Drosophila melanogaster: one gene and its partner. The protein of the gene in region 2 interacts with the protein of the main gene of each other region in a pairwise test. Each region holds a gene or a part of one and is shown on either strand. Other genes may lie near its edges.

Evidence for each region.
Region 1: the proteins of Xrcc2 (region 2) and E(spl)mgamma-HLH interact in a two-hybrid assay, tested with the Drosophila melanogaster proteins (one large-scale study listed by BioGRID).

What each region holds. Positions count from the first base shown.
Region 1 is NT_033777.3:25,996,962-26,002,438, reverse strand, and holds E(spl)mgamma-HLH (enhancer of split mgamma, helix-loop-helix), read right to left. Parts: upstream 2,589-5,477; 5' UTR 2,497-2,588; coding exon 1,879-2,496; 3' UTR 1,678-1,878; downstream 1-1,677. Other genes in the region: E(spl)mdelta-HLH (enhancer of split mdelta, helix-loop-helix), read right to left, coding at 4,186-4,707. UniProt on the Drosophila melanogaster protein: Transcriptional repressor of genes that require a bHLH protein for their transcription. May serve as a transcriptional regulator of the Achaete-scute complex (AS-C) genes. Contributes to the neural-epidermal lineage decision during early neurogenesis.
Region 2 is NC_004354.4:18,496,528-18,501,758, reverse strand, and holds Xrcc2 (X-ray repair cross complementing 2), read right to left. Parts: upstream 1,633-5,231; 5' UTR 1,578-1,632; coding exon 825-1,577; 3' UTR 501-824; downstream 1-500. Other genes in the region: Pgant7 (polypeptide N-Acetylgalactosaminyltransferase 7), read left to right, coding at 2,323-2,527, 3,338-3,814, 4,257-5,231.

The sequences.
Region 1 (5,477 bases), on a different chromosome or scaffold from region 2:
GATCGCCGGATTGCCGGATTGCTGTATCGGGGGTTCGGTTACGTCGCCGCCATTCGTTCATCATTCATCGGGTTTACCTATAAGATTAAGTATCTTTTGTGCCAGCATTTCCTTTTGGCATTTTGGGTGCGATTCCTCCGCATGTCCCTATAACCGACTTTTTCTTATTGCCCATTGTATGGTATGACAACTGGGCTTGCTTGGTTTGGTTTGGATTGGTGTTGGTCCTCTTATTGTCGAGTCCATAGTTGTGTCGCCTTGATCGGATCATCCAGGAATGGCCTAGGATCGAAAGTGAGCTATAATTTAACATGGCTCTTAAGGAGTGTCCATTATTACACTTTATGTTATCCCAGGGTGGAAGTGACATCCAAACATTGAAGGAAATGATCTTGTTCAGTACATTATAGGGTTTAAGATTACACAGAATTTGCAAGTGAAATACAAATATTTTTAGCGTATTATCTACAAAGGATATCTCAGAAGGATTTAAACAATTTAAAAAATTATAAACGTTTTTTTTTAGTTATTTATAAGCTAGTAACCATAAGCTATAAATCTTATTAATTTCCATAAATAATTGCTGGCACACAAGAAAACAAAAAGGACGGAAATGTAAAATTAAGTATAAACACTTAGGGCTGTTGTGAAGAAGATCTTCTTAAAGATAATCTACTTTCGGCTTTAGCAAGTTAACAGAATTTTAATCAGCTGAAAAATCTCTATAAATTTAGTTCCTTTTTAAATTTATTACACCCCGCCAGCACAGACTAGTCCCAAGCCAATCCTGATACCGATCTCGTTGACTATTCCCTCGATCTGCCCTGCGTCGATTTTTAAGACAGAGGCGTCTGTGAATCGGCTACTGGTCTTGGCACACAGATAACCAAATGATGCTGGGTCAGCCAGATCAGAAAAAAAAAACGAAAATCAAAAAAGGCTCGGGCAGAGCCCATAAAAAAGAAACAACAAAAAAACCGATATCCTGTCCCCGGCTGGAGCTCCTCCATCTTAAAGTTGCCCTAGGGCAAGGCAGTCATTTACCTGATCCGAAGCAATTATGTGCCCATAGCTTACCTTGACCATTGTGCACACGATTTTCTATCCGAGTGGCCAGGGAGAATCACGGCAACAAAAAATTGAGGAGAACAAAGCGAAATCAGGACGGATGCGGGATGAATGATGACTCGATCCCTTTTTTGGTTTTCGGTTTTTTTTTCGGGTTCCTTGCCGGCTCTATGCCCATTTGTTTTCTTCTAAGTCTGAGCGACATTGTCGTAACTCGATTAGATACGCTCAAAGATAAGACTCTAATATTTTCTGTTACCTTCGCTTATTGTCCGCACACGTGTTGGAGTTGCAACCACCAACTGGCCTATAGGCTATGTCCCGGTATCGGTAGCCCCGGCTTTGGACTTTGGACTTCTTTCTTCTCTCGTTCTTCTGCCTAATTCTTCTTGTTTCGGCCTTGGCATTGTTTTCGCTTTCTTTTGTCCGACGATCGTGTATGTGCATCCGTGGGGCGATCGAATAGTTACAGGGGACAGAGAGAGGTGCTATTGCGTTTCTAGCGTTTCCGTTCTAGACCGCAGACAATTGGAAACTGTCTGGACATGGGAGTGTCTGAGCAATTTGCATGTGAGTCACTAGATAGTGGCAGAAAAAGTCGTGATCTTTCAATTTTAGCTATATAATTTATTATTTATTTAGTTATCACATGAACTGCGCGTCCTCATCTAAAGCTTTGTGTGTTTATGGTGTTTACTTATAACTAGGTGGGAGTCGACTGGTGGAAATCCAGTGACTCGGAAGACTTTTACTTTCTATGATCTCTCCTTCGTTTTTTTTTTTTTCAGTTGTGGTGTGAAGTAATCCTATCTACCAGGGACGCCAGACGTTCTCCTCGTCCTCGCTGTCGTCCTCCATCTTGGTCACATCGATGGTGGTCAACAGGGAATGGCTGGTCGAACTGGTATTGGAGTTGGGACTGCCGGCGTAGCTGGAGATTGGCGAAATGGGCACGGAGTAGGCATCCCGATTGGCGATGTGCACGGAGAGTGGAGCGGTCACCGGCAAGACTTCCTTTTCTGCTGGCTGGATCTGATTGAGGCGCTGTCCCAGGTGGGTCATTAGCTGAGTGCCTAGGCTGACATTCATGCCGGGCAGCTGGGAGAGTGAACGGGAGACCTCATTGACGGCATGGATGTAGCCGGAACGGAAGCCCTCCGCCGGAGTCAAGCTCTCATCGCCGGAAGCCCGCTTGTGCTGACGCTGCTGCTTCATCTTTTGCAAATGGGTGACGGTAAGTTCCAGGATATCGGCTTTCTCCAAACGGGTGACGTGCTCGCCCTCGGACTCCAAGGTGGCAACCATAAGATCCTTTAGCTCGTCCAGGCACTTGTTGATTCTGGCACGACGCTTCCTCTCCAGCATGGGCTTCATCACCTTGCGGTACTGATAGGTCTTGGACATCTCGGACATTTGTAGCGACGACATTTTGTGTGTTTCTTATTGTTCTTTTTGTAGTTTCGATGTAAGCTGAGTTCTTTGAGCTCTTGCTGCTCCGACAGTCGAAGTCGTTGTGTGTTGCTAGACCTTCGGTGATCGGCCTTATATAGCTGGCCAGAAACAACCCCCAAAAAATGGGCCAAAGGGATCGTCGTCGTCGTCGTGTGTGCTGGCATTCGAGGAGCAAAAGGGACGGGGACACGCTTCGTGTGCTGGCATGAGGGTTGCTCGGTACCGACCCTTCCGCTTCTTGAGACCGCTCCTTATTGTTCGGGCGATTTCTTATTGTTGGCCCCGGCACCCTTATCAAACGGGCCAGGGAGCAGGATCGCTGCCAGGATCGTGGGAAACACTTTCCTACTCGGTTTCTCACATCGACTCGCTCACCTGCCCGCAAAAAGCAGCCGAGCATGGCCACGGCCATGGGCATGGGAATTTGCAGAGCGAACAGCTGCCGTTTCTAGATTTGTGTGTTATGATTTGACTATGGCATGGCAGGGTGAGGGGCATAAGGATAATGAACTGCTTGCATTATGCCATCTCATCGGGGTCCTCCGGGGTTCCCACGATAGCGGGGACCTCCGCCGGGGGATGGGGATAAGGATAAGGACGAGGCGTTGCGATTCCTCGACAACTTCCTGTTTACCGTTGGCATTCCAAATTGGATCGGGTTCGTGTTTGGTGGCAGAGGAAGGGACAAGGACAGAGGCATCCTGCACTTGTTGGTCGGCTGTTATGATCCTGTGGGAACATTGCTCGTGTGCGTCGAGTGCGCTTAATGCGTGTACGACTTCCCGATCCCCCCGACCCGGCAGGACCTCTGCCTCTCCCTCCATCCGCCATGTAAAAGGGGCCAGCGATGCTGATCCTGGAGCGCTGCTCGCGTGTGGCTCGCTGTGGACACACTTTCGGCTGTAAGTTGCTCGCGTTCCAGGACCTTTGTAATGGATGGATGGTTGGATGGGTGGTGCATTACAGGGATTTGTAAACGGAGTGGGGAGAGTTCAATTGACTTGAATTCAAGTGGACAGTATAACGGTATTTGGTATTTAGAATTATAAATTATTAAAATTCCAAGGAAAATATATATTTTCTATATATTTCAAATTAGATTTTAGAAATATATTTAAATATATCTGATATATCTTTTATATCGAAGAAAGCTAAATAAGAGCTTATAAATTATAATTATAATATAATAATTATATATATTATAACATTTTGTACCTATGTACCTATGGATTATAGCAACCTTGTTTATGTTCATATTCCAAATAATATAAAGCTTTTAAAATTTCAGTTTACGTTCATTTTATTATTCAAATGTTCATGGCTTATACTTAATGGTGTAAAGCGAAAAATATAATTTTAAAACATACACAAAAATTTGTTCTTAATGAGGCTAAGTGGAAGCTCGGTGGGGAAGCTCTTGCAAAGTTGATGAAATAAATTACAATGAATTAAATACATGAATCAGTAAGCCTATGGGAGATCAAATACAAAATACGAACTTAAGAACTATCACAGGAACATCACATCATATCAAATCAACTACCAACTAAATACGATTCTGAGGCAAATGTTTACACTAGACCTTGGAAAACTTGGATTGTTTCTTAATGAAACTGAGTAGTAAAGCTATCAATGTTAATTGGTTGCGTATATATGGAATGCCCTTCACCAGGGGCGCCAGACTTCTTCGCCATGATGAATATCCTCTTCTCGCGGAGACTTTGAACGTTTTTGGTCGGCTAGATTAACTGGTTCTTCGGCCATATCGATGATTTCTTCTTCCTGTTTCATGTCCTTGAGCTGGTGACCCAATTGCTTCATCAGGTGGGTGCCGAATTTGAGATCCAAGCCGGGAACCGTAGAGAATATGTGCGAGACCTCGTAGGCAGCCTGGGTGTATCCGGCCCGAAATTTGTCCAGGTTAACTTGGTCGGGTGGTGGGGATTGAGGATTGGCCACTCGCTGCTGCTGTTGCGCTTTCAGATAGTTGACGGTGAGCTCTAAGATGTCAGCTTTCTCCAGCTTGCTGACCTGTTCGCCCTGCGCATCCATGGTGTCCACGATGAGATCCTTGAGTTCGTCCAGATACAGGTTCATCCGGGCGCGTCTTTTGCGCTCCAGGAGGGGTTTGGTCACCTTGCGGTAATGCTGAGTCTTGGTCATAAATCTCTGACCCTGAACGGCCATTGTGTATAATGGGTTTTGATTTGGTGTGGTGATTGTTTGTAAATAAAGTTGCGATGTTGCGATGTCGCTGCTGCCGCTCCGCACTGCACGGTAGTCACTTGAGAAATGATCTTGCCGCAAGGTAAGCTGATCCTTTTTGTAGCTGCTGGTGCCGTACACTTGCGAAATCGAAATCCTCCCCTAACTGCCACCACGCACTGCGATCACAACGCTCCTACACGCCGACGATCACAACGAAGCATCAATCGGGTCACTCTCTGCTTGTGGCAAGATTCCCTCGGCGTTGCACGTGTGCAACATCAAAAAAATTGGATCGGGCGGAAGCCGCTGAGGCTCTCTTCTTGCACTGAAAACAATCCATATGTGGCAGAGAACAATTTTTAAAATCTATACTTTATATAAACTACTTTTAAAATATACAAGTTTCGAAGCATACTCTTTGGATGTCCATTCTGGAAACCAAAGTTTCTCATGCATCTAAAGTATCTTACAACGATAAGTATAAACAAAGAAAAAATAGTTTTATTGTACTTTAGAAACTTTTATATATTTAGAAATTAATTTATTTTTAATCAAAGCTTCTTTAACCTTGGTCATAATAGTAGAATGCCTTAAAGTTATTTTCAGTGTATTGACTAGGGTCCAATAACACGTTCTTCGGATCTTCGCCCGAGCTAGTAGCGCGCTCTCTTCGGGCGTCTCTCTTCCTCGTGCTGTTGCCGTGCGCCGGCGCAACAGTCTGAAGAAGGGTCTCCGAGGAAGAGCAGGAG
Region 2 (5,231 bases):
TATTGAAATTACATTTAAATTAATGATTGTATTTAATAATAATTTTTACTAATTTACCGGCTTTTAAGCACTACCAAAATCAATCGGCGGATAACATTAAAAAGCCCCCCCCCCCCCCCTCCTCTCCATTTTAATTGCCATTACCATACACCATCATATTGCTTCTTCTTAAAATGCTAAGAAAACGATAAAAAAGGAAAACGAAAACGAAAAAAAAAACTGCTAAACAAAACCACCTTACTTATGTATAGCTTTTAGAAATCATTAGTTTTAAGTATAATTCTGGTAGGGTTGGCCTTCTTCAAAAACAAAAAAAGAACATAGTGAAGGTTTCAACACAATTTTAAAGAACTGTTGTATTTTTTTTAATTAAGATAATATTACTGATATATAATATTAAATATATTACTGAATGGAATAAGTCATAAAAGCGAACTTTCCTTCTAGATCTATATGGACTATAATTTTCTTTGTTCGAGCGGGTAAAACTAGGAAGATATCACGGAAATTAAAGTATATTTGAGTTCGTAACTATCTAGATAATGTAGAAGTTATACCTTTTTTTTAACTTAATTAGTTGCACAGATTACTTTCTCACTCATAGGCCTTGAAATTGTCTAATAAAGGAGTAATAACAAATATAATTTCTAATCCCTAAAAGGAAGATATTATTAAAGTTAAATTGTTAAACTATATACAATTTTCTTAACCTATCAACTCTATATACAATTTAATCAACTCTATATACTCTATATACAATCGTTTACTTCTTTCAGTTCCTAGCATCATTTTGTCCTAAGATTAATAATAATAATTTAACTATGTTAACTGGGCTGAGTCAGCAATGCCTCAGTAATTTCCTTGCTAGTATTTGTATCCAAATGAATTCCATTGCTAAACGACAGCGGCAGTCCATTCAAGAGGATCTGGTTTTGAATCTTCTGCATCCTGACATGGTACTTTATGCCAGCCTCGGGCAAGTTTTCGCCAAAACGATTCTCCAGAAAGGCAGACTCCACCGTGTACATGCCGCAGACGATGGCATCCTTGCAGAGCTTCTCCAGGCGCGCCTGGAGCAATCGATAGTGGCGATACATGGACATTCTCTTGGCAATCTTAGGCTCATCTAGCCAGTAGAATTCGCTGAGTGTGTCCATGGCAACCAATTGTATGCCAGGATCATTGATGATCGCGTAGCGGGCGTCGATTAGCGACGTGGAAACATCATCGTTTGCAAAACAGTTGAGGAATCGCACGCGACTCATGCACTCGCCCGCAATCTCGGCCAGCTGCTCCTCCGTGGGGCATTTCGCAGCAATCACTTCGCCGACAGAGTACGCCTTCAGCTCCATCCTAATGCTCTTGGCCAGAGATTCACGGTTGATCTTGTGACTCAGATTGATCAGCAGGACGCTCCACTGGCGACCACCGAATTTGTAGGGCACCAGGCAGTGGGCCACCAACTGTTGGAGCACCAGGCTTTTGCCACTGTTCCCTGGGCCGGAGATCTCCACCAGCGTATCGGCTTCAAAGCCGCAGGAGCCAAAAACGGCAAAGTGGAGTTGATGTGAGCCCATTAGGTTAAATTTACAAATTTGCGCCCTGGCATAAACAAAGGAGTTATCGATTGTGGCCTTTATCGATGACAGCCACCTAAAGTTGAATTGCGCAGCGCTGAAACATATTTAACACTAAATGGAACTAGGGCATATCGAATAGTTAAACAACAGCAGCAAGCGTTTCGTTATAACTTTCAGTTAGCATTTAGACTTATTTGCGCACATACATAAAAAAAATCCATTTTCACCACCCTGTGTTATCGCCCAGCCGCCTATCGCTGCTGGTGCCTAATTTAGCCCTAACGCCTGGGCGATGATAGAAAAAACGGCATAACGCGTTCTTACCAGTTGAACATCGTTTTCTACCATTTTTTGTTTACGTTTGCACCGCGAATATTCGTGCACCTGCACTCGCAATTTGCTCAAAGCCAGCGGCGCTTTTTCGCCGGCAAGTTGCTCCGCACCGAGTTAAAGCATCACTCAGGCGGACGAGCTGGTGTACTCCAGTTAGCTTCTCGCCCCAGCACTTGTAATTGTCATTATCGGCGGGGCGCCTTTGATCATTCAGCGGCATCTCGAATCCGAACCAAAAGTGGTTCTTTTGTTCTCTTTCTGCTTTGTGGCCACCTTTCCGCGCTCCCCGCTTACCGCTTCCCGTCTCCCGCGCCGTGCTTTTTCTTTCTGGCCACCTAGACACGTCAACAGATTTGGAACTTTGTAACTGGAATCTGGAACTGGGCATCGGAATCGGAATTAGGGAGAGATGCGCGTGAGCACCATCCGCAGCGGTCGGATCTGCCGGCTGGCATTGTGCCTGCTGGTACTGCTGCCGCTGCTGTATCTGCTGGCCAACTGGAGCGATCACCACAAGCGCGTCCAGGAGGCGTATCACACGCGCTTCGGCGGACCCAAGTTCGCCCACCAGCGATTGGAGGGCAGGCCCAGGGAGGTGCCCAAGCTGGTCGATGGTAAGTGGCTACAGGATCGAGGATAGCAATATCAGCCCTTGACCAGGATAAAGAATAGGATTGTGTCACCCATAACGTGAGCCTTGCCATTAAGATTCCTCACTCACGTATTATACAATTTTATTATGGAGGACTATCATCAGAACTAAGGATACAGAGTAGTTACCATATCATTGTTGAAAAGACCGAGTTGTTTGCTTACTGCAAACCCAGCTAAAGAATTCAGTAATCTTTGCTTTATATCACTTAAAACCGGCTTTTGCTCGTTTTAACCAATTAATTACTTGCCATGTATGCTACATAGTATTCAAAGAAGTCTTTATTACCACGTTTAGCGTGAGTAAAGTATGGTTGGAGGTTAAAGGATAACCTTTTCCAACCCATATCGTACAGTCTATTCCCAGTCTAACTTACGAGCCCATTTCAAATATTTATCGCATTCTATTATACATTCTCCAAAACCGGCTTTGTAATGGCCCTAACCAACCAACTATCAAATTCGGATAGAGTGAGAAAATAACCTCATAAAAGTCATTTTTACTGCACAGCCACCAAAACTAGTGTGTCTTTAGTCTTTTGTATCAAATGCTAATTCTAGTCGTAGAATATTCCATATGACCATAAGATGGTTAGATGATGGCATATTATTGGTCTGTAATACCCCGCCTTTATGCATAAGTCTGAAATTATAACCCACACCTCCTGCAAGCGCATACAGTGAGTGGCTGGGCCAATATTTAAACAATTGCTGTAAGCTTGCATAGGTAATTTGCACGCGCCACACTCACAATTTGTTTTTGCGTTTTTCAGGCCTTGGCAACTTTGAGCCGAAAGATGTGAAGCCACGTAGCGGGCCTGGCGAGAATGGCGAGGCCCACAGCCTGTCGCCGGACAAGAAGCACATGTCGGACGCCTCCGAGATGGAGTACGGCATGAACATCGCCTGCTCCGATGAGATATCGATGCACCGATCGGTGCGGGACACGCGGCTCGAAGAGTGCCGCCACTGGGACTACCCCTTCGATCTGCCGCGCACGAGCGTCATCATTGTCTTCCACAACGAGGGCTTCTCGGTGCTGATGCGCACCGTGCACTCGGTCATCGATCGTTCGCCCACGCACATGCTGCACGAGATCATCCTGGTGGATGACTTCTCCGACAAGGAGAACCTGCGCAGCCAGCTGGACGAGTATGTGCTGCAGTTCAAGGGGCTGGTCAAGGTCATCAGGAACAAGGAGCGCGAAGGTCTCATCCGAACGAGATCCAGGGGAGCCATGGAGGCTACAGGTGCGTATAGCCCATATCTCATTTATGTATATTGTTATGTGTTCTTGCATAACTTGCATAACTCATGACGGCTTATCGCATAGTTAAAAGAACGTGTTGTATGGAAAACAATAGTTTTATCTTGAGATGTTTGCATCAAACGCTGAAACGCCAGCTATTTGGAATTTGAATTGAAGATAACTTCACGTTCCGCTTTGTGGCAATGATAAACCTTTAAACTGCAGACTCATTGAATTTCTTTTACATTTTCTCAGCATAATAGAATTGCCTATCATTGCAATTGAAGCAAGATTATCGTCGATTTCAAACAAGCCTTTTAGCATAAACAGTATGCATAGAAATTTACAAATTACTATTTTAAAGCATCATCCTTTAAATCATCATATTAACCCACAACCTTATAAATATCCACACAAACACTAAACTGCTTTGCATCCCGCAGGTGAGGTGATCGTCTTCTTGGACGCCCATTGCGAGGTAAACACCAACTGGCTGCCGCCCTTGCTGGCGCCCATCTACCGGGATCGCACTGTGATGACAGTGCCCATTATCGATGGCATTGACCACAAGAACTTTGAGTACCGGCCGGTTTATGGCACGGACAACCACTTCCGCGGCATCTTCGAATGGGGCATGCTGTACAAGGAGAACGAGGTGCCACGTCGCGAGCAGCGCCGCCGTGCTCACAACTCGGAACCCTATCGCAGTCCCACGCACGCCGGCGGCCTGTTCGCCATCAATAGGGAGTACTTCCTGGAGCTGGGCGCCTACGATCCGGGTCTGCTGGTCTGGGGCGGCGAGAACTTCGAATTGAGCTTCAAGATCTGGCAGTGTGGCGGCAGCATCGAGTGGGTGCCATGCTCTCGCGTGGGTCACGTCTATCGCGGCTTTATGCCCTACAATTTCGGCAAACTGGCTAGCAAGAAGAAGGGTCCATTGATCACGATCAACTACAAGCGCGTCATCGAGACGTGGTTCGACGACACGCACAAGGAGTACTTCTATACGCGCGAGCCGCTTGCCCGCTACCTGGACATGGGCGACATTAGCGAGCAACTGGCGCTGAAGAAGCGACTGAACTGCAAGAGCTTCCAGTGGTTCATGGACCACATCGCCTACGATGTGTACGACAAGTTCCCGGGTCTGCCGGCCAACCTGCACTGGGGCGAGCTGCGCTCGGTGGCCTCCGACGGATGCCTGGACTCGATGGGCCACCAGCCGCCGGCCATCATGGGCCTCACATACTGCCATGGAGGCGGAAATAATCAACTGGTTCGGCTCAATGCCGCTGGCCAGTTGGGCGTCGGCGAGCGCTGCGTGGAGGCCGATCGGCAGGGCATCAAACTGGCCGTGTGTCGTCTGGGGACAGTCGACGGTCCTTGGCAGTACAACGAGCACACGAAGCACCTGATGCATC